4 linked regions of the Drosophila melanogaster genome follow. Changing the gene in region 2 together with the main gene of any one other region gives a genetic interaction. Each region holds a gene or a part of one and is shown on either strand. Other genes may lie near its edges.

Region 1 (5,331 bases), 880 kb from region 2:
TATTAACGAAATTATATAAAAATCCCTTATTGGTTTCCCCAATAATGTGTGGCTAAATTCCCTCACCTTTGTGGGTGGGTTGGCAGTTGGGGGTAAACTAGGAGCAATAAAATGAAATGAGTATTTTTTTCGGGGTGAGTACATTTTTCGACGCCGACGGCGGAACCGAGCATCGTTTTTTGTCTTCGTGTAGTTGGCGCTGCCCTTTCTCTCGGCTCTCCCGTTATTTTCGTTATTTTGCAAGCCGACGACGAAGTCCCCGAGCAGATCCAAGCCCCCAATATTCCCCGTACACCCCATTTACCAACAATTTTCCACCCAAATCCTAACCGCTTTTCAACCGATTTTCCTCTCAGACTGCAGCAACGCATCTGCGACTGCGACTTGGGTTCTCAGTCTCAGTTTAGGTGTAAGCCATAACCCCTTGGAAAATCCCAACCACATCGCCCCTCCCCGCCCAGCAGAAATCATGGGGTTTAGTAGAAAAATAGGGAGTGAGAATACCAAGGGGGTCGGGGGCGTCTGCATTGCACTTGGCGCTTCGATACAATTTGAACTTTTCTTTATGCGAAAATCCCGCAACGGGACTGCAAATTCCAGGGGTTTGCGGAAAAACACAAAATAACGGGAGGCTGAGAAGGGGCTTACTCTCCAATTTAATATTCCATGGATTTTTGAAGAGCCGAACAGAGACAGCCAGCCAAGGGACTTAAGTTAGGAATGCAATTTAAGGTGCATCATAAAGTGGCGGAAATTTGGAAAGGACAGATTGTTTCTAAATGTTACATTTACCTCTAAAAAAAAACATAAAAATTAAATTAAACAACAAAACATAGAATTGTTTGTTGCATTTAGCTTAATTTACACTTCGTATTTACTTTTTTATTTCCATCACTTTCTACTATTGTTTACTATGTTCGAACATTTGATGAATATAGCAGCTGCTTTTAATTCTAAGACTTATCTCGTGGAACTTTTAGTTCTTTAGTTCTTAACTTTAAAACTTATCAGTTTCAGAATAATACTTGAATTCCAGGTAAATCCCCCTAAAGCCAAAAAATATTACAACTTTCCGAAATATCCTCAATCTCAATCCCTCCGCCAGCGTCACAGTCGACGTTGCACTCAATCCTGCGCTCAATAAGCAACAACAACAAGCAGTAGTGGAGAGAGGCGAGCGCCTGGCTCTTTCGTTTCCAATAAGAAAAGCGATGTGCGAGCGGGAGGGCACTAGCCAAAGTGTCTGTGAATGAATGAATTTCAATACATGCAACTGACATGCGACGGCGCAGAAAAATGCTCAAAAATAAGAGTAAAAAAAAAAGCCGAGAAGGAAAGCGCAAAAAAAGTGAGAAAATCAAAAAGCTATTGAAAGAAATCAAAAGCAGTGCACGGGAATTGAGTGAGATTCTCTTGCGCGGAGCGTGAGAGAGCGAGCGAGAGAGTTGCGCTGCATGAGTGTGTTGTGTGTTTGTGGCGCCTCTGTCGCTGCCAACGCCGCTGTCGGCGCTCTCTGCGGCAGAGGGTTGTCGGCGCTTCGTTAACGTTCGATTTGTTCAGTCATCAACAGCATTCGTGACTGGCAACGTCGTTTCGTTCGTCCGTCGCCGAAAGAAATCGAGAATTTCAGAAGATTTTTGGATTCTACTGCCCCACAAGGCAGTGCAGCTTCTTCTTCTTAGCCGCGGCGCGGGTGTGTGTGCGTGTGTGCCCCTCTCTCTCACTGTGTGTGTACGTCGTGTGTGTGTGTGTGCAGAAGAATCCCCCCACCCACTTCATACAAAAAATTCATAAAAAAATAATTGCAAAAGAATGAATCTCGCTTGCCAAGAAGAAGAAACGTATTGATCATATTTATAAACAAAACAGCACACAGCCAAACAAATCAAAAAGGACTAAACGAACGTATAATATAACTGTTTATTATTTTTTTCAAGTGCATTTTTGTTCGCTAAAATATGTGCGCGTGTATGAGTGTCAAGTGTAAACAACAACAGCAACATCAAAAGCAACAACAGCGACAGCAAACATGTGCAAAATAAGCCACAGCCAAAAAGCAACAACATAATGATAATGGCTTGAAAAAATCACACACACAACAACAACAGGCAACAACCAAAACAACAACATCATACCCTCACCATTCAACAAACGACTACAACAAAATCCCCCACACAACAACAAGAAGAAACCCCCTTCCAAAAAAATCAAAAAAAATTCTTTTTCGGAACTAAAGTGAACAAAATATAAAACATAACATAACCATAATAATAATAATAATAACACACAGAAATTGGCTTATTTATGCATTTTTTTGAGCACGTAACAAGAAACATACTACTTAAGGTGTAAATGTGATGACTAAAAACGAAAACCGAATTAAATAACAACTAACTAACAAGTAAAATCGAAACGACAACAGAACAGAATAATGCCAGGCCTTATTAGCCCCAAATTGGTAGAATCCAAAAACTGAAAACCCCAAAAAAACCTAAGCAAAAACTGACTGAGAATTATTGAATTAACCCAAGAAAGCCCACGAATGCAGCCAACATTGCCACAAGCCGCTGGGACAGCCGATATGGATCTGACGGCTGTTCAATCAATCAACGATTGGTTTTTCAAAAAGGAGCAAATTTATTTATTGGCACAGTTTTGGCAACAGGTAAGAAAAGTTAGCAAAACGATGGAAAACGGTGCTTAAAAGCAAGAAGTTTCGTGTTTCAAGAATAATAATATGAATATAGTTCAATGAATTGGCCAAACAAGCTGAGATTACGGGTTCGTAAAATGTTCGGTGCAAAAGTGTTTTATCTTCTGTTCTCACTTTTATTCGCATTGACAAACAGTCTTACGTTTATATTACATGCAAGGTGTATCTTATTTTTGTCAACAAAAAGATGAAATTACACCTGTTATATGTAGCATAAAATTTGATACTTGCGTTTTCTAACTTTATATGAATGAAATGAATTCGATTCATACAGTATTGTGTATTCAAAGTGAAAAGTTTAGGGAGCGTAACGCGAAAAGCCCGAAAGCCTTTAAAACGTTATAAGCTAAAATTAGAACTTTCCATACATTGATTAGACTAAAAAGTCATATACAAATTTGCAATTATCATTGTAACTAAACAGTGAATAGTTCCCGAGTTCTGTGATATTCGTTGCATTTCACTGGAAACTCCCACAGCTGACAACAATAACCCTAGTGCGCCCAGCCGCCCACTTTAACCCCACACAGCCCCCATATTTTGGCCCCGCAAACTGCTTAACTTAACTTAAGTTAACTAATTGAGTTTGCGTGTCTATGGCAAATGTGTTTTTATTGTTGCTGGCCCGTTATTGTTGTCTAATTTCTTGTTGTAAATTTATTTATTTTTTCTGCTATTATTGATTTCTGAAAAAAAATTTGTTTGCACAAAACAAAAACAACAAATGCAAAGTGCAACAAGCAAGTAATAAGTGAACAGTTTATTGCTTGAATAACTTTTTTTTTTTTTGAAGCGTTTTTTTTTCTGTTTTCTACTACCAGTGAACCGAAAAAGATAAAGCCAGACAAGATCGGCCAGACGGAAGAGACAATTCAGATGGGGGTTTCGCTGTAAAAGGGGGCGTGGAAAATCGGGAGGCGGGGGCCAGACGATGCTGAGAATTTCGCTGGCCAAATGCCAGACTCCGAACAAATAAGGCGGCAAAATAACATTAGAGGCCAAAAAGGGGAAAAGAAAATCATCTGCCAGACCAGACATGGAAATATCAACTGCTGTATATATTTTTGAATATTTCTATATATAAAAATACTCTCTATATGGTTTGGCAAGTTAATTAGGTTGCGTCGACAGCCGGGCAAATTTTTTAATTGGAGTTTCTTCTTCGATTGATCGTGAAAAGCGAGAGACGCGCACAGTGAAAGACAGACATGGAAAAATTCCCGGAAAATCTAGACATTTGCCGTCGGTGAATGGCGTTTTTTCCCGCTCCACAAATATTTTTGTACAAGATATGGCGATGCAAACTGCAATCAATAAAACTTAAATAAGCAAAACCAAAAGCTATCCTATCGACTTTTTCCGGAGAACCACAACAAAGGCAAAAAGATGAGAAGCCGCAGAACTCGTTAGGATTACTTGAAGTCAGTGGTGTACACAGGATTTTATGAATGGGGCTTTGCTGATCTCAAATAGAACCGGTTTTTATTTAATTAAATGCATTTGCTTGTTATATTTAAATGTTAGATATGTACATAGTGATAGAGCATAGTGTTGGCGGCCTAAACGAAAACACAAAACCCCATCTAAAGGCGCCACTGTTTTGGGTTCTTTTTTCCTCTTTCCTAACGATCATTTAATGGCTTTCAAAAGCTTCAAGTCTTCTATAACTTTCAAGATCCCTCAACCAATGATCGATTGTGATCAATGAATCAATATTTGAAAGGTTTCGTCATGCCTTCGCATGCTGATCAACAAAACAAAATTAGAACTCGATCCATAAATACCATTTCTCTGCGGCAGAAAAAAAGGTTATTCAACATAACTAAATTTGCCAACCAAAAATAGAAGCTTATTAAATAAATTAAACAAACCGCAGACAGACGTCTACAGCTGTCCAAATGAGTTGATAAAACAATTTTTATAGTATTTCACTTATTTATTTATTTACATTTCAAGAACAGAGCGCGCGCGAAAAAATTGACACAAATCGAATTCGAAAAAGCAACAATAAAAATGTGCTTGATTAACACAAAGTTTTGTCATTAAATATATAGAACGGTGGCACCGAAAAAACGATCACAAAAAATTGAAAAAAAAAACAAGTGCAAGAACAAAAAGCAGAAGCCAAAGAAGAACCAAAAGTTAAAAAGAGCAAAATTAATTTCCGTAATGCAATCTATAAACTTGACCCATTAACATCGAACAGATTTTTTGTTTAGCTTCTACAATTACCGAAATCCGAAAAACCATAAACCGAAAACTAGATGAAAGATGAGGTTTTTGTCATTGATTTGTGCTGATTCAAACTAGAAAAAAAAAAGATGGAAATGGAAAGACAACAAAACCGAACTAATTGCCAAATGCATTTGCTGACTTAAAAAATATTAAAAAAAAAAAAATAGAAAAGTTGAATTGAAAAGATGAGAGTAAATCGAGTTTGGGTTCCGTTTTAATCGAATTGAAACCGGTTTATAGGGTAGTCACCACCACCATAGCACCATCACAGATGCAGATACGGATATAAAATACGAAATGCGGAATACCGGGGACGAGCATTGATAGTTTATAAAGTTTAATTTTCAAAGATGGCGTCCCGGCATTTGCATATGCCGAAAATG
Region 2 (7,351 bases):
GACGCGACGAGCTAAAATGTTCGAAGGCAACTAAAAGCAGCAAACGGAAATTCTTAGCCGCCGACCGGCAAACAATCGCATCAGAAAAAAAAAACAACAAAAGCAGAGAAGACAACTTTCGAGATGTTCCCAAATTCAGAAACTCACTGTGCTATTTCAAAGATGGTTGGTATTGTTTGTATTTCTACACCATCAAACATTTCATTTCGCATATTTGTGAAATTACGTTAATATAATATTATCACACAGCACAAGATTTTGAAACCACTTATAAAAACAACATTTAGATGTTATAAAATACCATGCAATATCAGATATAAAGCTTTAAAGACCTTTATATTTTGGAAAACAAAGTGATGGTTTTTCGAAAACAGGAACGTCGATTTTTATCACATGAAGAGTTTAAGTCGTTAATTCGTGTTTGAGGGACACATGTCAAGAACCGCGAGCAAGCGAGATGGAGCTAATGGAGCACTTATCTGGGAGCCCGACGAGTCCGGTTCAAGAGACCTATATTTTTGTATTTTCTTTATTTTGTTTTTGGTGATAAGATAGTTGCGGGAACAGGATAGTTGTATAATCGGTATATTGATAAGACGACCGACAATATATTGGCCGAATCATTTAATCAATTAATTGCTGACAAAAACGAACCAAAGTTCGAAGGTCAGCAGACGGCATTGCAGAAATGTCCGTGACATTGACCTCGGCACCTGGAAAATGAAATACCACCCAAAAAAAAAGAACATCATATCTATGTCACCATTTGACCCAGTTAATCGAAAATCGTGGAATTAACGAAAAGGAATCAAAGAAATATTATTTCGTTGGGCCGTGTGTGGGAAAGAGAGGTGGCGCAAACAAGGCGAGAGAGAGACGGGGCGAACACGCGTTCAACAAACTTGATTAACGGTTTATCGATTTGCCATCGCACTCGCACAAGCACGTGCTTTGTTTGTCGCTCCTATTGATTTTTACGGCATTGCTTGGATATGAAATAACCGCACATTTCTACTTCTTCCTTTTGTGCACTCCTTCCAATTTCATAACGTTGTTTATTTGCATGTGTGTATCGCATGTACAAATGTCCATTGTTGTGTGTGGTTGAGTCCACGTGTGTTGTTTTTGTTAATGACTGTGATTTTCATATGTAAAACTCTTTGTTATTATTATTCGATGGAAGGAGGAGGAAAACGAAACAGATGAACATGGCGTAAAGTTGATGAAACACCGAGAGGAAATAGAATTCATAGTCGTTGCGTTTTGCACACTCGCAAGATAACCAACTAACGACATTTACTAACAATAAACAAAAACATAACTTTACACGAGAACACAAAAAACACAAAAAAAAAACAGGAAAACAAAAGGCACACACAGTCACACACTCACATCTCTTCCAGACAACTTTTGTCGCGGTAACAGCGCGAACTGAAAGTTTGCTCCTGGCTTCATTGACTCGCAATTTCGAACTGAGTCTGATGAACAAGAACAACAGTGCGCCGTGTGGAAAGCGGCATTTTCCACCCCCTAAAAAGCGGGCCAGCAACAACAGCAACGACAGTAACAAGAACAATTTGAAGGTAACAGAAACTTTTGGGGATGACACGGAACAGATGATGCCGCTATCGGTGTCATCGATAGACGGCGATAACAGGAGTTTTTTAACCGCTCAGCAATATATTTCAAGTATATCATACACTTGTGTATTTCATTTAGAAAGTATTCAACAAGATCAGATATATTTATTTTGTTGATAAAATCACGAACCAACTCCATTGATTCATTTCCGCACATCACTATTGCCCAATTTCGTTTGTCGGCATCCTTCCAGGCACTGGAAGTTCGTTCTTATACTTTTCGTTCGCATTCTAGTTCGCGGGTTCTCTGAAAGGCTAGATCGCGCCATTCGCTTCAATTCTTCGTGTAACGGTGCTAGGTGCGGATGCCAGTGTTATTTTTAATTGTTAATTTAATTGTTAACTATTTATAAAAATAGAATTTGTACAACAGAAGACGAACAGCAGAACACCGGTAATATCTCGATTCGATTTTAACTGTATTAGTTGAAACATTTATAGTAACGGTAATTTGTCAAGTGACGAAATTAACTAATTAAGCGCAGCATGAGAGGCTTTTAAATCATTAAATTTTAAACAAATATTTAATTTTCATCAGCTTCATCACATTTAATTTTGCTCTTTTGCTTCATTTGCCTTTCTACTGCGCCATCTTGAATTCGCAGGTGCATATTGTCATCTCGCTCTGAAGCCCGGCTTGTATGGAGTCGGTTAATAATTGGAATATATTTGTATTGCAGCAAATTTGCTTTAAAACTATTAAAGTTAAAAAAACTATACAATAGTTAACATAAAATAAGTAATAAAGCTTAGTATGCGCACTTCTTAGTGAAACGACAATAGATAGCAGTTGAAAAGTGATTGTGAAGGTCAAATAGATCGAGGTCAGGGCCCTCTTCTAACTGTTAATTGTGCAATACTTGTATTTCAAAGGGAAAACATGACAAAAAAAAAATGAAATGAATAAAATTTAAGTTTCTCGATTCCAGAGTCGCCATGGACATGCAAGTGCAGCGCCCCATTACGTCAGGCAGCCGGCAGGCCCCGGATCCGTATGATCAGTATCTGGAGAGCCGTGGACTCTACCGTAAGCACACGGCCCGGGACGCCTCCAGTTTGTTCCGTGTGATCGCCGAGCAGATGTACGACACCCAGATGCTGCACTACGAGATTCGGCTAGAGTGCGTCCGCTTCATGACCCTAAAACGACGCATCTTTGAGAAGGTAGGCCTCTAACAATCACACATTTTGTAAAAAAAAAAGAAATAATTTTATTTATATCCCAGGAAATTCCTGGCGATTTCGATAGCTACATGCAGGACATGTCCAAGCCCAAGACATATGGAACCATGACAGAACTACGCGCTATGTCCTGCCTATATCGGTAATTAATCCTTAGTTACTATTTTCTATTAAATTCTACAAATATATATGATTTCTGTACGACTTCCAGCCGCAATGTTATCCTGTATGAGCCCTACAACATGGGCACCAGCGTCGTTTTTAATCGTCGCTATGCGGAAAACTTCCGTGTCTTCTTCAACAATGAGAATCACTTTGATTCGGTTTATGACGTTGAATATATAGAAAGAGCCGCCATTTGTCAATGTACGTAGCCTATTAATATATCCAATTTTGCTTTTTGTATATGTACGTTGCTTTCAGCAATCGCCTTTAAGTTGCTGTACCAGAAGCTTTTCAAATTGCCTGACGTATCCTTTGCTGTGGAGATTATGTTGCATCCACACACCTTCAATTGGGATCGCTTCAATGTGGAGTTCGATGACAAGGGCTATATGGTTCGCATTCATTGCACCGATGGACGAGTTTTTAAGCTTGATCTGCCAGGGGACACAAACTGCATACTGGAAAACTATAAGCTGTGCAATTTCCATAGCACCAATGGAAATCAGAGCATTAATGCTCGAAAGGGAGGCCGGCTGGAGATTAAAAACCAGGAGGAGCGAAAGGCATCCGGCAGCAGTGGCCACGAACCAAACGATCTGTTGCCCATGTGTCCAAACCGATTGGAGTCCTGTGTCCGCCAGCTGCTAGATGATGGTCAGTAGAGGTGGTTTCAAACATCAAATGCTTACATAATACTCTCTTTTTAGGTATCTCTCCGTTTCCCTACAAAGTGGCCAAGTCCATGGACCCCTATATGTATCGTAATATAGAATTTGATTGCTGGAACGATATGCGCAAGGAGGCCAAGCTTTATAATGTCTACATAAATGACTATAACTTTAAGGTAAACTGTGCAGAACATTGGATTATCGTTAGCACACATACACACGCACACCAACACACGTTTCATGTCAACCACCCATCCAAATTAACACCCTTTCATTTTCATCTATACACTGGATACACCTTATACTTTACTATACATGTATGTCTTGCCTTATCCTTCCTCGTCTCGTCGCCGTGTTATTTGTTTTCCAGGTGGGCGCCAAGTGCAAGGTGGAATTGCCGAACGAAACGGAGATGTACACGTGCCACGTTCAAAATATCTCCAAAGATAAGAATTACTGCCACGTCTTTGTTGAGAGGATTGGCAAAGAGATAGTGGTACCTCTTCTTTTTATCTGATTTTCTAGACCCTTGCAGAGAAATGCAAAAATTTCGATTAGAAACGATTATCATATTTAACAATTAGTTAAATTTGTTAAAGTTTAGTTAAAAGTATATTAATTGTGGCCCAATGAACTGGTATATAAGTCTATAAAATAATTGATCTGCAAGGGCTAAAAATGTTCGGTATCCGAAGCTAATTGTAACTATTTCGCTTTAATAGAGAGCTTACTAATATACAAACATATCTGTTGGCTTAGGTCCCGTATGAATCGCTCCATCCCCTGCCGCCAGATGAGTACCGCCCATGGTCGTTGCCATTCCGCTATCATCGCCAGATGCCTCGCTTGCCGTTGCCCAAGTATGCCGGTAAGGCCAACAAGTCTTCCAAATGGAAGAAGAACAAGCTGTTCGAAATGGACCAGTATTTTGAGCACAGCAAGTGTGATTTGATGCCCTACATGCCCGTGGACAATTGCTATCAGGGTGTGCACATTCAGGACGATGAGCAGCGGGATCATAATGATCCTGAACAAAATGACCAGAACCCGACTACGGAGCAGCGGGATCGTGAAGAACCGCAGGCACAGAAGCAACACCAGCGCACGAAGGCATCAAGGGTTCAGCCGCAGAACTCGAGTTCCAGCCAAAACCAGGAGGTTTCGGGTTCGGCTGCCCCGCCACCCACTCAGTATATGAATTACGTGCCAATGATACCGAGTCGTCCTGGGCATTTACCGCCACCTTGGCCTGCATCTCCGATGGCTATTGCCGAGGAGTTTCCGTTCCCCATTTCAGGAACCCCGCATCCACCGCCAACCGAAGGTTGTGTATACATGCCATTCGGTGGTTATGGTCCACCACCACCGGGAGCTGTTGCTTTATCGGGACCGCATCCATTTATGCCGCTTCCTTCTCCACCGCTAAATGTTACCGGAATTGGCGAGCCACGTCGTTCTCTACACCCAAACGGTGAAGATTTGCCCGTGGATATGGTGACTTTGAGATACTTCTACAACATGGGCGTGGATTTGCATTGGCGCATGTCGCACCACACGCCGCCTGATGAACTAGGAATGTTTGGATACCATCAGCAGAACAACACTGATCAACAGGCAGGACGGACTGTAGTCATTGGCGCCACAGAGGACAATTTGACTGCCGTGGAGTCAACACCACCACCTTCGCCAGAGGTGGCAAATGCCACAGAGCAGTCACCGCTTGAGAAAAGTGCCTACGCCAAGCGCAATTTGAATTCGGTTAAGGTGCGCGGCAAACGTCCGGAGCAGCTGCAAGATATTAAGGATTCGCTGGGGCCAGCGGCATTTTTGCCCACTCCAACGCCATCGCCAAGCTCGAATGGCAGTCAGTTTAGTTTCTATACTACTCCATCGCCGCATCATCACCTGATAACACCGCCGAGGTTGCTCCAACCGCCGCCACCGCCACCGATATTCTACCACAAGGCGGGACCACCACAGCTAGGGGGAGCAGCTCAAGGACAGGTAGGAGTGATACATGCACTAACAAATTCAAAATATTCTATAGGCAATCGACACTCGACCATTTTTAGACTCCCTACGCCTGGGGCATGCCAGCTCCGGTGGTGTCCCCCTATGAGGTGATCAACAACTATAACATGGACCCGTCGGCTCAGCCACAACAACAGCAGCCAGCCACCTTGCAACCAGCTCCCTTATCTGTCCAATCTCAGCCGGCAGCTGTCTATGCTGCAACGCGTCATCACTAAACAAAGAAAGAAAAAAAAAAGGGAGCGGGGGCAAAAAACAGATCACTTGAAAGAGAGAGGCCATACAGATCGAAGGCATTACATTCCATTGCAATTAACGGCTTTTAAAATTTAATCTCACTTTTAAATTTGTAGTTAACTTTTTATAGGCCATAAGCGTTGGCGCTCTATCATAAACCATTCAGCTTCTGTACAACAATCGATTGCATAACCTAACGCAAATGTCAACCCAACTTCATTTTAAAAATGTAATTTAACGTAATTTTATGCGAATTTTTTTAAAGTTAGCCGTCACGAAATCAAAGAACCACCTATTTATATGATTTATTTAAAACCCTTCTAACCAAAAATATCTACATACTATCTACTATATATATACATATATATATATATATATATTTATGTGCTCGCTGTTCGGCTAGAGACTCACCTATGTAAAGTGTACCATCAAAAATTAACCATAAATAAAACAAGATTCAACTGCAGCGCAAGAGACAAAATGTACAAAAGACTTTTGCAGGTGCTGCAATTACGTGGTATTCTCGTGTTTCGGCGCGATTTCAGATAGCAAACAAAAGGTGTGGATTGGCTTGGATTACTTTGATTCACCTCGTCACATCACATCGACGCTGATCTTCGAAACGATAAAGAACTCTGATGTAATCCTTTAGTTTCATTGTAAAAGTTTGTTATTATTGTATGTACTGTCTTTATTTGTGTCATAATTTGTTTGTCTATGTTAGTTTTAGAAAACGCTGTTATTTTTGATAAGCAGATAGTTTTTTAATGCATGGGTTTATATTGTAGCATATTACATCAAATTAGTGCATACTAACTAAGAAAAAAAAAACAACAAAAAGTATTTACAACTAAGAAAATTAGATATTAGAAAATTTATAAGGTTCATTAGTTCAATCAATCACGATTACTTTAGTATGTAGTACATTGAAAATGTTTTGAGCTGTCAACATTATCCTGCTAAAACTAACCCATGTTAAAACCATCCAGAATGCTGAAGATAAGTTGAGTTAAGGAGTGCAACGCCTCCATACTGGTTTCCGTTGTCCGTTTAGATAAGGGCTAGTTGGAATAAATTATGAAAATAAGTATCTTAAACAAAAATTACAAAATATGCTAAAGTACTAAAGAACTTGGAAGCTAATAATACGATGGTATCACAGAAATCTTTGTACATAAGTTTAATATTTCAATTCACCAACGTACCTGTATGGTTTGTTTAATTTGAATCGGCCAATAAGCAATATATGTCTCTGTAACAATTTCGGTTATAAGGACTTTCTGTGATACCCTGGACAAAATTTGTTATAGGTATTATTTGTTGTTATTCTATGGTTAACATATCAGTCATTGTTAAAACAATACTAACTTGTCCAGAACAGTAGGCGATTATTGCGAAACACAAACCCATTACAAGGAAGCATAAGTG
Region 3 (5,312 bases), on a different chromosome or scaffold from region 2:
ATATAGGAATTTAATAAATAATAAACCTTTCTCGAACGTTACGCAAATGAAATTATCATGTAACTATGTAAGTTTACACTTGCAGGCTGGTTTATTAATATCCAAAATACTAAATTTCCAACTTTAGTCCTAAAATGATTCATTCTTACATTTTTCAGATGGCTTCGTGGCCGGAGTGCGCTGCAATTCGCAGTACAACAAGACGCGCGGCAACTTGAAGCTGAACGGCGATTCGCGGGTGATCTGCCAGGGATTCACCGGCAAACAGGGCACGTTCCACAGCCAACAGGCTCTGGAGTACGGCACCAAGTTGGTCGGCGGCATTTCCCCCAAGAAGGGAGGCACCCAGCATCTGGGACTGCCCGTCTTCGCTTCGGTGGCGGAGGCCAAGAAGGCCACCGATCCACATGCCACCGTCATCTATGTGCCACCACCGGGCGCTGCGGCCGCCATCATCGAGGCTCTGGAAGCGGAGATCCCCCTGATCGTTTGCATTACGGAGGGTGTGCCGCAGCACGACATGGTGAAGGTGAAGCACGCCCTCATCAGCCAGAGCAAGTCGCGATTGGTGGGTCCCAACTGCCCGGGAATCATCGCCCCCGAACAGGTTCGTACATCTCCAGCGCTTGAGAGATAAGCTTGGCCAGAGGGCAAAGTCCACGTTCATCTGGTGGTTTTCTTATCTCTTGGTATGACGCTCGCTTTGAACTACATATATCTGTTTACTATTCCGTTTTCAATTTGCTTATTGTTAATGTATAAACAGGCCTCCATTGACACACCCTTAAATTTGGGCATTGAACTTTGCACCTGAAGTTGGTGGAATTTGCGGACGATACGTTTTTTATTACCATTTATAACGCTTATCTTTCTATGCGTCACAAAACTTAGTGATTACCCACTTCACTCCACTTTCAGTTAAGTCAATTGTATAATCTTAAACTATGTTTTTTCTGATTGCAGTGCAAGATCGGCATCATGCCGGGTCACATTCACAAGCGCGGCAAGATCGGCGTGGTCTCGCGCTCGGGAACCTTGACCTACGAGGCCGTGCACCAGACCACGGAGGTGGGTCTGGGCCAGACCCTGTGCGTGGGCATTGGAGGCGATCCGTTCAACGGAACCGACTTCATCGACTGCCTGGAGGTCTTCCTCAAGGATCCCGAGACCAAGGGCATCATCCTGATCGGCGAGATCGGAGGCGTTGCCGAGGAGAAGGCTGCCGACTACCTGACCGAGTACAATTCGGTATGAGAAGCCATCACGGATCAATGTATTTCATTGCTAAATGTTTTTGTATCCTATTGCAGGGCATCAAGGCCAAGCCTGTCGTCTCGTTCATTGCCGGAGTGTCGGCGCCACCCGGCCGTCGCATGGGTCACGCTGGAGCCATCATTTCCGGAGGAAAGGGAGGTGCCAACGACAAGATCGCCGCCCTGGAGAAGGCCGGCGTCATTGTGACCAGGAGTCCTGCCAAAATGGGCCACGAGCTCTTCAAGGAGATGAAGCGTCTGGAGTTAGTGTAAATAATTAAAGGCCATAACCAAACCGGAATCCGTACGCCGATCAAAGCGTATACGCAAACTCATGATGATGAACCTAACGTTAAGCTAAAAGTGTCGAAAATCGAAATTGCATTCGAGCGAACCCAAATAAATTATTGTGAAAAATTACTAGAGAGAAACGAGAGGCGTTGAATTGTGACATGTATTCCAAGAATTAAGTTAACTACTGCCGTACCACCAAGTTGAACTAAAATAACTCGCACCAAAACCAAGATTTCTAATTGTTATTGCACTCGGCTCATTGTTTGTGTTGCGAACAGATTTTTGCCTTAATTTTAAATGCCTGCTCGAATTATCAATGCGAATTGTATCTGAATGTGTAATAAATATGCATAAAAACAGGATAGATGTGGTGAATTTTCGTGGTTTTAGCTATACAAGCCATATCCTTTGAAAATATGAATTTTCAGGTCAATTTATTTAATCTAAACTAAAATTCTTTGGAGAAGAATTAACAAAACAATAATTTATGAAAAGCAATGCTTACCATATTAAAAAAAGATTTAAGGAAATTTAAAAAAATGTAGTTTTCTACTTTCGATATTTAATGGGATCGACTTGCAAACATCAAGAGCACACATCGATAGAGCGGAAGTTTCGATTAACTCGTGAAATATCTGGCAACATTAATATCGAACTGCCATCGCTTTTTGTGCCAGCTCTAATAAACATATATATGTTTTAGGGCCGCGATTGAAAATGCGTGCCACAAAGGCCTAAACAAACTTGGAAAACACCGCGAAAAACGTCAGAAGCTATAGTGCCGATTCGCATATTGTTCGCCACCCCGGAAAAGTGTGAAAATCGCAGATAATCAAAAGGGAGAGCAACCAAAGGAAAAGCAACAACAACGACTCGCCATGGGCAGCAGAACTGAAAATGGTGAGTTTCTAAGAAAATGTCCCTAAATTTCGTTAGCACTGTCCCTTTTCTCGCAAAGCGTGTTGGAAATGATGTGAACATAATAATATTAGTGCGCTTATTATTACTATTGCAACATTTTCGGTTTTTGCAGCCGCCGGTTGCGGTTGCATTTTAAAGTGCACTACATACGCACACACACACATGTGCACATACAAATTTATCACCTCGCATGTATGTATGTATGTGACGGAGTAGTGCATGCCTTTTAGTAGGGCTGCCGGGAAGGCCCCGTTATCTGATTCCGGGTATGTCTAATTGGAGTTGTTAGTTGGAATTTTCGTTCGCCGAGGAACTTTATTGAAAAAAAGTTGTAGCATGGCTAATACCAGGAGTTCATGGCCTTGACGCTCGCAATACATAGTGCTGCATTGAAAATAATAAATTATGGGATTGTTGGTAGCAGATTGGTAGCTTAATTGCTCACATAATTCTTCGATTTAATATTATGCCAATGCTTCCGTACTTTTAATATAATATATATTCAATATCCTACTTTAAAAAAATATTATTATGAAACGAGAAATATAGCTAGAAGTATTATTCTTTATTATTCTTTAGTTTTAAGTTTTTAAAATGTTGATCCGAAATATCAGGTTGAGTTAAAAGTAATGTAAATGTAAAATATATTTTACAAACAGCACGTCATTATTACTTCGGATATGAAAAACCACTTAAGGATGCGTCCTATCTATATATTATGTAGATTTTTGTGTATAAGCTTTAGGATAAATAGTTTTGAAAACTGTTGCTGCTGCTGCAGATCGATTACAAAACGCCGAAAAATGTGCGTTCCAGTTCGCTAGGAACCCTCAACTTCTGGTGACATATCGCATTCTTGCAAACATTTTTGTAAGTTTTCTTCCTCTTCGCGTTTGCTCGATTTATAGAGAATGCTTTTGTTTGTGTTTAAAATAGATTCGAAATGGCTCTTTGGCCTGCGTCCGCCATTGTCGGCGTTTTCGAGTGGGTTTTATTGAAAATCTATTTTGCGAATTATCCGACCAGCCCGGCTATATCCCCCCTCCCTCCACTTCCCTGGGCCTTTCTCACATTTGTCTCCAATTCTCTTACATCGCTGGCGTCGCAATAATGTCGTCAGTTTTTTGTTTATTCGCTCTCCCAAACACCGAAACACGCAAAAAATAGTTCTTATTTTTGTTAAATCCACACAAATTTTCTTGAGTGAAAGTGAAGATTTTATCTTATTAGTGATTGTAGCTTCTATCAAAAAGTGTGAGTTTAGGAAAGTTTGGGTTTTGAATATCTGGACTCATTGGTCTTTCAATGCAAGTGTCCACTGTACTTTATAATACAATTTATACTAAAAACGTCGCTGTTTTGTTTTCGTCTGTTTATTGTTTTATTTGGATACTCGCATCTAATGATTCCACCGATGATGACCGATTTTCGGTCGATGATGCCGTGATGAGGATGATGTATCTTTGCTGATGCTCTAAACGAAATGTCGTCGTTGTCACACAATGTTGTAGTTGTTTCCTTAGTGGCTGCTGCTACTTAGTTAGTCGATTGTGATGCGCTCGGATTCGCTTCGGCCTTCCGTTTCGCACTCATTACACAAACAAAAAAAGATTGAACACAAGTCTTACTGCAAAAACTCGCGAAACCGAAGCATTTTTCATGCGAGAATGTCGAGAATTTGTGTAAATTAATTTATTGCCTTCGCTCATGCCACTTTCTATATCGGATGGCATTTTATTTGCATTTTTTGAAACACATTCTGGCAGGCGTACATCTTTTGATTTCGCATTTCGATATTTCAGCAGGCAAACTCCTGTTAGTAGAATTTTTATTGAGTTAAAAAAAATGTAACTTGTAATTTAAAGCAAAATTTTTATAGTCCACATAATTGAATATTGAAAAACATTGGTTGTTTTCTACCTTTCCAAAGAGCTCATCTGATGCCTTGAATAAATCAGGAAAAATAAATATACTCGTGCCCACAAGCGTTTTATGTTTTGAAGGTAAAATTAAAAAAATTATTTTTTTTATATATATACACTGGGAATAATTAATATTTGGCTGATTACTTGTCAACGAAGATGCGCTGTACTTTATTTAGTCTGCTGCTTATGAATAATCGCCTGTGATAAGAGCAGACACATCACATCGGTTACGCCAGTTTTGTTTTTGATTTTGATTTGGCTCAAAGAGCCCCATCAGTTCCACACACCTGCCCCACCGCTGTCCTCTGTAGATTCCGCAGACAAAGTTGCGATGCCAAGCAAATTCTATTCCCGTAGAAGCGAAGGAGGTGACTGGGTGGTGGCTTTAGGTCCGTGCAGATGCTTTTTGCATATTTCATAATTCCCGCAGATGGCCTGAGCGCGGGGAAAGCCGAAGACAACAATCAAATGGCCCCAAATGTCGGCTCCCAGGTGCCCCTTTTCGTATGCAACGGGCATGTCTCATATGCCAAATGAATGAATGATTGAGGAGACTGAAAGTCTAGCTCTCTTCTCCTACTCCTATTAATATTTTCCCTTAAGCTATGAGCACCATTTAGCCGTTTACAGGACATCTGCTAGTCAGGATTCTCTGTTCGCCAGCTGTGCTTAGCTCGGCTTTTTCTGCGCTCTGCCGCAGAACTCAATGGCTGCTTAACGTGGCCTTAAAAGTTTTGGCCGTCTGTCACGAAAAAACCAAAGCAGAAACGATAGCTGACAAAAGTTTAAAGATTTTAAGATATTTAGCTGCTTGATAGTAGACATTTAGATGTGTAAAATTGTTTACGTTACCAGTATAATTACTATTGGAACTAAATGGAAATGTTAGTCGTCATATCGCCGAATAAAATCTGTCATA
Region 4 (5,374 bases), 1.4 Mb from region 2:
CACAATGCGTGGTAATAATATATCCAATGTATCATATTAAAAAATTGAAAACAAATAGTTCAAAATTATTTCTAAATATTACGATAAAATGTTAATATATATGACTTTTTTAGCTGTTTAATAATTCAAAGCAGCAAATAATATTGCAATGATACACAACAGAAAAAAATATTACATAACAATAATAAAAAAAAAACAATGCAGGCTTTCATTGATTTCATTGACACCATTTAGCAGACATTTTTCGGCAGTGTACGAGGGAAAGAGATGGAGAAAGCGCCAGCGAATTGTAAAGCAATAACAAAATGCGAGAAAAACTTTACAGTTTGATAACAGTAGTCTGCTAATTTGGAGCACAGTTGTGTAAATAGAGCAGCACTATTATGCAGTGCTTGAGTGAATGTGTGTTCTAAACAGCTGATAAAAGCCCATTTAAGTACATGAGCTAATGTATACATATATACATATAGAAGATGCATGTACACATCTGTGCATCTAACAATCGCTCAGCTGGGAAAATGAGTCATGTACCCGCATGCATGAATGGATCTCGGTCTGGAAACAAAATCACAGCGGCATTGCCAGACACAATCAACGATCCATCGAACATTCCAGCTGATCGTCCGCTTGGATTGTTATTATACTGTTGTTATTTCAAGTGTATCCAAATGCGCATGTATGTACATATGTATGCATGTATGCTTTTTAAAACATTGAGCGAGCTTAAAAAGTACAGTGAACACTTGACATTGCGGAACCGAAACATATATACTTTCAAGGACGTATTCAACTTCATTTAACTCAGTATTATCTGCCATAAAAACATCGAAATAAGAACATTCAACGCTACAAAATATACTCTTAAATAACGACGCTAAGTAGTTGCATTATCTAGAGACCACTGTTGGGAAGCTTTTATTAACTGAAGACCAAATAAGGTTTAAAACGGGGTGCAACGCTCATGGGAATTGTGTAACGTGCAATTTGCGCAAGGGAATGACCTCAATGGAATGCAGAAATGTGAATTAAGAGTGTTGGTGGAGGTGGGGGTAGTACTAGCTACCGCCATTTCCAATATTTCCAATACGCTTTAAGCGAAGGGAACGATCGTTGCGATGCGACGTCATTGCCAACAGCAAGAAGGGGAATGACCCACCGAGAAGCGGAGATGAAGAGAAAAGGAAATAAATGCAGCTGCCCTCTCCTCACCACTCCACTCCTCTCCCACCAGCCAGCTGCAACTTGAAAAACAAAAAATACGGCAGCTGAGCGTACGATAGAGACAACAACGGAGGGCGAAGCGAACATCTTCCCTTGCGCTCACTACCTGCCTGGAAATATCCAGGATCCCTGATCTTCAATGGAAAAGGGAGGGCCATAAACCGAAAGGCGCGTGTCGCTAATGAGGATCTTTAAAATAATGTTTCGCCAACTAAAGCTATATAAACACTCAACGAAGAAATTACAATTATTTTAATTGCAGAAGCTCTGGGAAACTCCAAAATATGTCATATCTTAACCAGGGACACATGTGTAAGTGAAGTGTACGCCAAAACACGTTGCCTTCGATGATAACAGCTGGCAATGCCGTCGACGTAGGGCGGTCGCCACAGTCGACCACCAAAAAATAGGTACATATCTACTTATTAAAAGCAATCACAAAATACTCCAATTTATGCGCAGCAAGAAACACATGGTGGCATAGTTGGTGAAACAGGAAGTAATATGTATACAGGATATGCGTAAATGTAGGTAGTCGATTTGCAGCGGAACTAAAGGAAGTGAAAAAGGGACACGCGATAAACACTCAGGTAAAGCGAAATCTATTCCAGAATTTTCGGCCCTTCACAACTGGACGCGACTGTATGCATGTGTGTTGTTGTCTTTTTCGCCTACCTTTCGTTATATGTTCTTACTGCCCTTGGGTTTCTCTTGTTGTTTCTTTGCCCCAAAAAGCTGTTTGTATACGAACAAAACCACTTACCCAGCGGCTTAGTTATTATTATTTAGTTAGAGACTAAAATGGAAAAAAAGAATTAAGCACTCACACACACGCTGCTGTTTTTATGTACAACTTACTGTTTATGTGTATGTGCATATGATTTTTGGGCGATGCTTGCATGTTGCTATGTACTACACAACTGTAACGGAAACGAAAAAAAAAAGAAAAAACAAAGTGTAAGCCAGGCGCGTGAATCGCCTTGCAAGTGTGTGCGCGTGTGTTTATGCGTTTGCGGGCATATACACACTCGCACGCTCTCTCACGTAGGCGCAACACACACATATGTATATACATGCGAATGACGAAGCCGCAAGCACAGAAAAAAAAATTAGTACATGAAGTAACAACGAGTGGACGGGAGAGAGAGAGAGAAGGAGTGGGAGAGCGAGCAAAAACGGCTTTGCTTTTGCTTTGCTGTTGTTGGTAGTGGTGGGAAATGCTGAATGGAATTTTACAACATGTTTTCGGCTCGTCAATCGCTTTTGCACTCTTCTTTCAGCTCAATAACTTCACAAAAAACCGTATACAGCAAAAAATAAGAAACAAAAAACAGCGAGTATCTGTATACTGCTCTTTACTCGCTCTATTCAGATGTACATATGTATGTATTTGAGGCCAACAGCAAAAAAAATAACATGTATAACTTGAAAAAAGAAAAGAAAAACTCCAAAAATGCTTGGTTTTTTTGTAATTGTACTACTACAATTGCGATATGATCTATGCGCATTTTCACAATGTCTGCGTGTTTTCCACTATCGTTTCCTCTCCACTTTTCTCTTTTTGCGTGTTCTTTTAATTTCGCTTCGTTATATACACTTCACGTCACGCTAGAAACCCTGTGCATGTATGTATATATATATATCTATATGCATATATATGTACATGCTGCAGTGTCTGTGTGTGTATTGTTTTTTCGATGGGGATTTATTTCTTCTCACACACTTATTCTGTAGCTACACGGATTGCATGGGGCACACAAAACAGCTTCTTTGTCATGATTTTTAAAACGTTTTAACTTATTCACTTGGATCGTGTGTTTGATTTACGTGGCGAGTGTCAGGAGGAGCAAAGAAAAATTACCAGAAAAAAATTCACTGCGCGACTTTCCTTCTTCGGCAACAACAAAGCAGTGTGCACGTTTCGCGGTTGTCGGTCAATTTAAGCTATTTGGGTGGCTTTACGGTGGCTAAACGCGTTTTCGTTATTTTTCTAGGCACTCGGCTGGTCACACTGTTCATTTTCTACACCGCGTTAGTTAAGACTCACTCCATTTAGCGAATACACGAACCCATTTAGCCAAGTTTCACACCTTCGCTTGATTCGTAACGGTCACATAAAATTCAAATATGGGAATTCAAATCAAGCTTGAAATTTTCATTTAAAGAAAAGAAAATAACGAATTAAAATTAGATACAATTTTATGTCTTTTGAGCCCCGTTAGATTTCGTTCATTTAAATATTTAGAATTCTACACAAACAAAAAAAAATTTTCAATAAAATAATATATATATATTTGCAACCAAAAAAAGAATATATGTATATTCATATATTTAAAGCTAAACAAGATGTATGAATAAGCTAAACAAGATACATGCATAACATTGTAAAACGAACAATTATATTTGAGCACGCAACAAACATCTGAGCCCTTTGCTTTCATTTGGAAATATACAATTTATTAGAGCCATTAAAACTAATCGATCTGCACCATAAATACGAGTAGTACACGAAAGCTATATCCGCCGATCGCGAGCCAGGCCCCGAAAATATCAAGATATCAAGCGTATTTGTAAATAGTCACCTTCTTCAGTATCTGCGAACACATCGATTTGTCCCTGAGCTCGGCGATGAAACTGGCCGAAGGGGCTGGACTCGCGGATCGGATGGCCTCTTAATTCTATCTACTTGTGTATATGGGTATATATGGGTATATAATATATCTGTATAATCTGTATAAACATGCATAATGCAATGCGGGATAGGCGGGCTTCTAGTGTTCAAAAGGTTCAGGTCGTTAACTCTCGGATATTTGTACAAGTTTAATATTCGTGTCCTTTGCCTTTTGAGTACGGTTCAAAGTCTTTTGAGAAACACATGGCCAAAACGGGTCGTTATGGATACTAAATATATGAATATCGCTAATAATATCAAGTTAAAGTTGAGAGGGAGAGGGAGAGATGAGCACTCGCACAATTTGAATCTTTGGCAAGACCGCACATACTGATCACAAGAATCGTTTCGATTTAGTTAGTTCGTAATGCTACAACTAGACTACAAGCTAGGCGTCCTCGCTCGCTTAAAATTTGGCTAATTGTGGAGCAGAGACTCGGGTACATCGGGTATATCATAGGAATACGTTACACATGGCTGACAACATCGAATCCCTGTCGTTAAGTACTCTAAGTTCTAAATTCGCTGCATGTTACCACAACTGCTTTGTGGCGCTCGTTTGTTCACGGTGCTGCGGCTCCCTCGCTTGGATATAGATTCACCAGGATGGCGTAATAGTGACATCCGGCGGCCAGCACCACAAACAGATGCCAAATGGCATGGGCCATGGGTATCGTGCCGTCCGCCTTGAAGAATACAATGCCCAGAATGTAGAAGCCGCCGCCGAACTTGAGCTGCATCATACCGTGGAAGTGGTGGCCAGTGAACACAACGACTAGAGCGGGTCCCAGGCCCATCACCAGATAGAAGAACGTCTCCAGACACTTGTAGCGCTCGTGGAAGACCTGTTTTCGCCAAACAAAAGGAAATTTCACCTTAAGGAGCATGTGAACACGGGTGCTGTAAATGAACCCACCTGCTGGTAGGCAATTCCTATGCCCGCCATCAGCCAGATGACCCATTCCATGCAGAAGAGTATGGCCGAATGATCGGTGTTCTCTAGCGTGAGCCAGGGGAAGTACGATCCGGCGATGAACACATAGATCATCGCCCTGTCGCAGCGATGGAGCACGTTCTTGAGCCCCTGATACGTCTGCCAGCCGAGACAGGGCCAGGCCTTGACATTCTTCGGTGGTCTAGTGGAGGTATACAAAAATGTACAAATCAAATGGTTAAATCAGCCTGTGTGCGCACTCACTTGTGCTCGGCGCAATAGCAGGAGCAGTGGAAGAAGGTGGACACCGTGAAGAGCATGCACAGGGCTCCGCCGTAGACCCAAGCAACCAGATACTGGCTGGCGCTGGAGGAGCGTTCAAACAGCTTGATGGCCGCAAAAACGGCGGGCAGTATCCAAATGCCGTGAGTAATCACATTGGCCACCTGCTCGATCTGTTTTTTTTTGGATAGAGTAAATGTGGTTTAGGCGTCAGGTGTACTGTACACATACAATGTATAGAACTCACCTCCGTTGGCTGGTAGGCA

Evidence for each region.
Region 1: of otu (region 2) and ct, changing one enhances a phenotype caused by changing the other (phenotypic enhancement), as found in Drosophila melanogaster (one study listed by BioGRID).
Region 3: of otu (region 2) and enc, changing one suppresses a phenotype caused by changing the other (phenotypic suppression), as found in Drosophila melanogaster (one study listed by BioGRID).
Region 4: of otu (region 2) and Sxl, changing one suppresses a phenotype caused by changing the other (phenotypic suppression), as found in Drosophila melanogaster (one study listed by BioGRID).

What each region holds. Positions count from the first base shown.
Region 1 is NC_004354.4:7,606,874-7,612,204, forward strand, and holds the start of ct (cut), read left to right. Parts: upstream 1-2,274; 5' UTR 2,275-2,542; coding exon 2,543-2,665; intron 2,666-5,331. UniProt on the Drosophila melanogaster protein: Regulator of cell fate decisions in multiple lineages. Specifically, functions as a determination factor that specifies sensory organ identity in precursor cells. Probably also involved in cell type specification of Malpighian tubules.
Region 2 is NC_004354.4:8,484,057-8,491,407, reverse strand, and holds otu (ovarian tumor), read left to right. Parts: upstream 1-1,872; 5' UTR 1,873-2,034; exon of another isoform or gene 2,035-2,060; intron 2,061-2,285; exon of another isoform or gene 2,286-2,464; intron 2,465-2,555; 5' UTR 2,556-2,576; coding exon 2,577-2,804; intron 2,805-2,866; coding exon 2,867-2,964; intron 2,965-3,033; coding exon 3,034-3,188; intron 3,189-3,245; coding exon 3,246-3,641; intron 3,642-3,694; coding exon 3,695-3,831; intron 3,832-4,025; coding exon 4,026-4,151; intron 4,152-4,414; coding exon 4,415-5,659; intron 5,660-5,727; coding exon 5,728-5,904; 3' UTR 5,905-6,400; downstream 6,401-7,351. UniProt on the Drosophila melanogaster protein: Catalytic component of a deubiquitinase complex consisting of bam and otu. The complex deubiquitinates K63-linked polyubiquitinated proteins; this antagonizes the ubiquitination activity of Traf6 and regulates the IMD immune signaling pathway.
Region 3 is NT_037436.4:3,816,474-3,821,785, forward strand, and holds the start of enc (encore), read left to right. Parts: upstream 1-2,205; 5' UTR 2,206-2,444; coding exon of another isoform or gene 2,445-2,447; intron 2,448-5,312. Other genes in the region: Scsalpha1 (Succinyl-coenzyme A synthetase alpha subunit 1), read left to right, coding at 159-607, 964-1,248, 1,311-1,526. UniProt on the Drosophila melanogaster protein: Required for the regulation of germline mitosis, karyosome formation, and establishment of dorsoventral (DS) polarity of the egg and embryo. Involved in proper grk mRNA localization and translation in the oocyte.
Region 4 is NC_004354.4:7,094,919-7,100,292, forward strand, and holds the start of Sxl (Sex lethal), read right to left. Parts: upstream 3,136-5,374; 5' UTR 3,083-3,135; exon of another isoform or gene 3,027-3,082; intron 2,851-3,026; exon of another isoform or gene 2,706-2,850; intron 2,149-2,705; exon of another isoform or gene 2,080-2,148; intron 2,018-2,079; exon of another isoform or gene 1,897-2,017; intron 1-1,896. Other genes in the region: CG4615 (uncharacterized protein), read right to left, coding at 4,456-4,737, 4,809-5,028, 5,091-5,281, 5,356-5,374. UniProt on the Drosophila melanogaster protein: Sex determination switch protein, which controls sexual development and dosage compensation in females. Sxl protein is only active in females: it is inactive in males throughout development.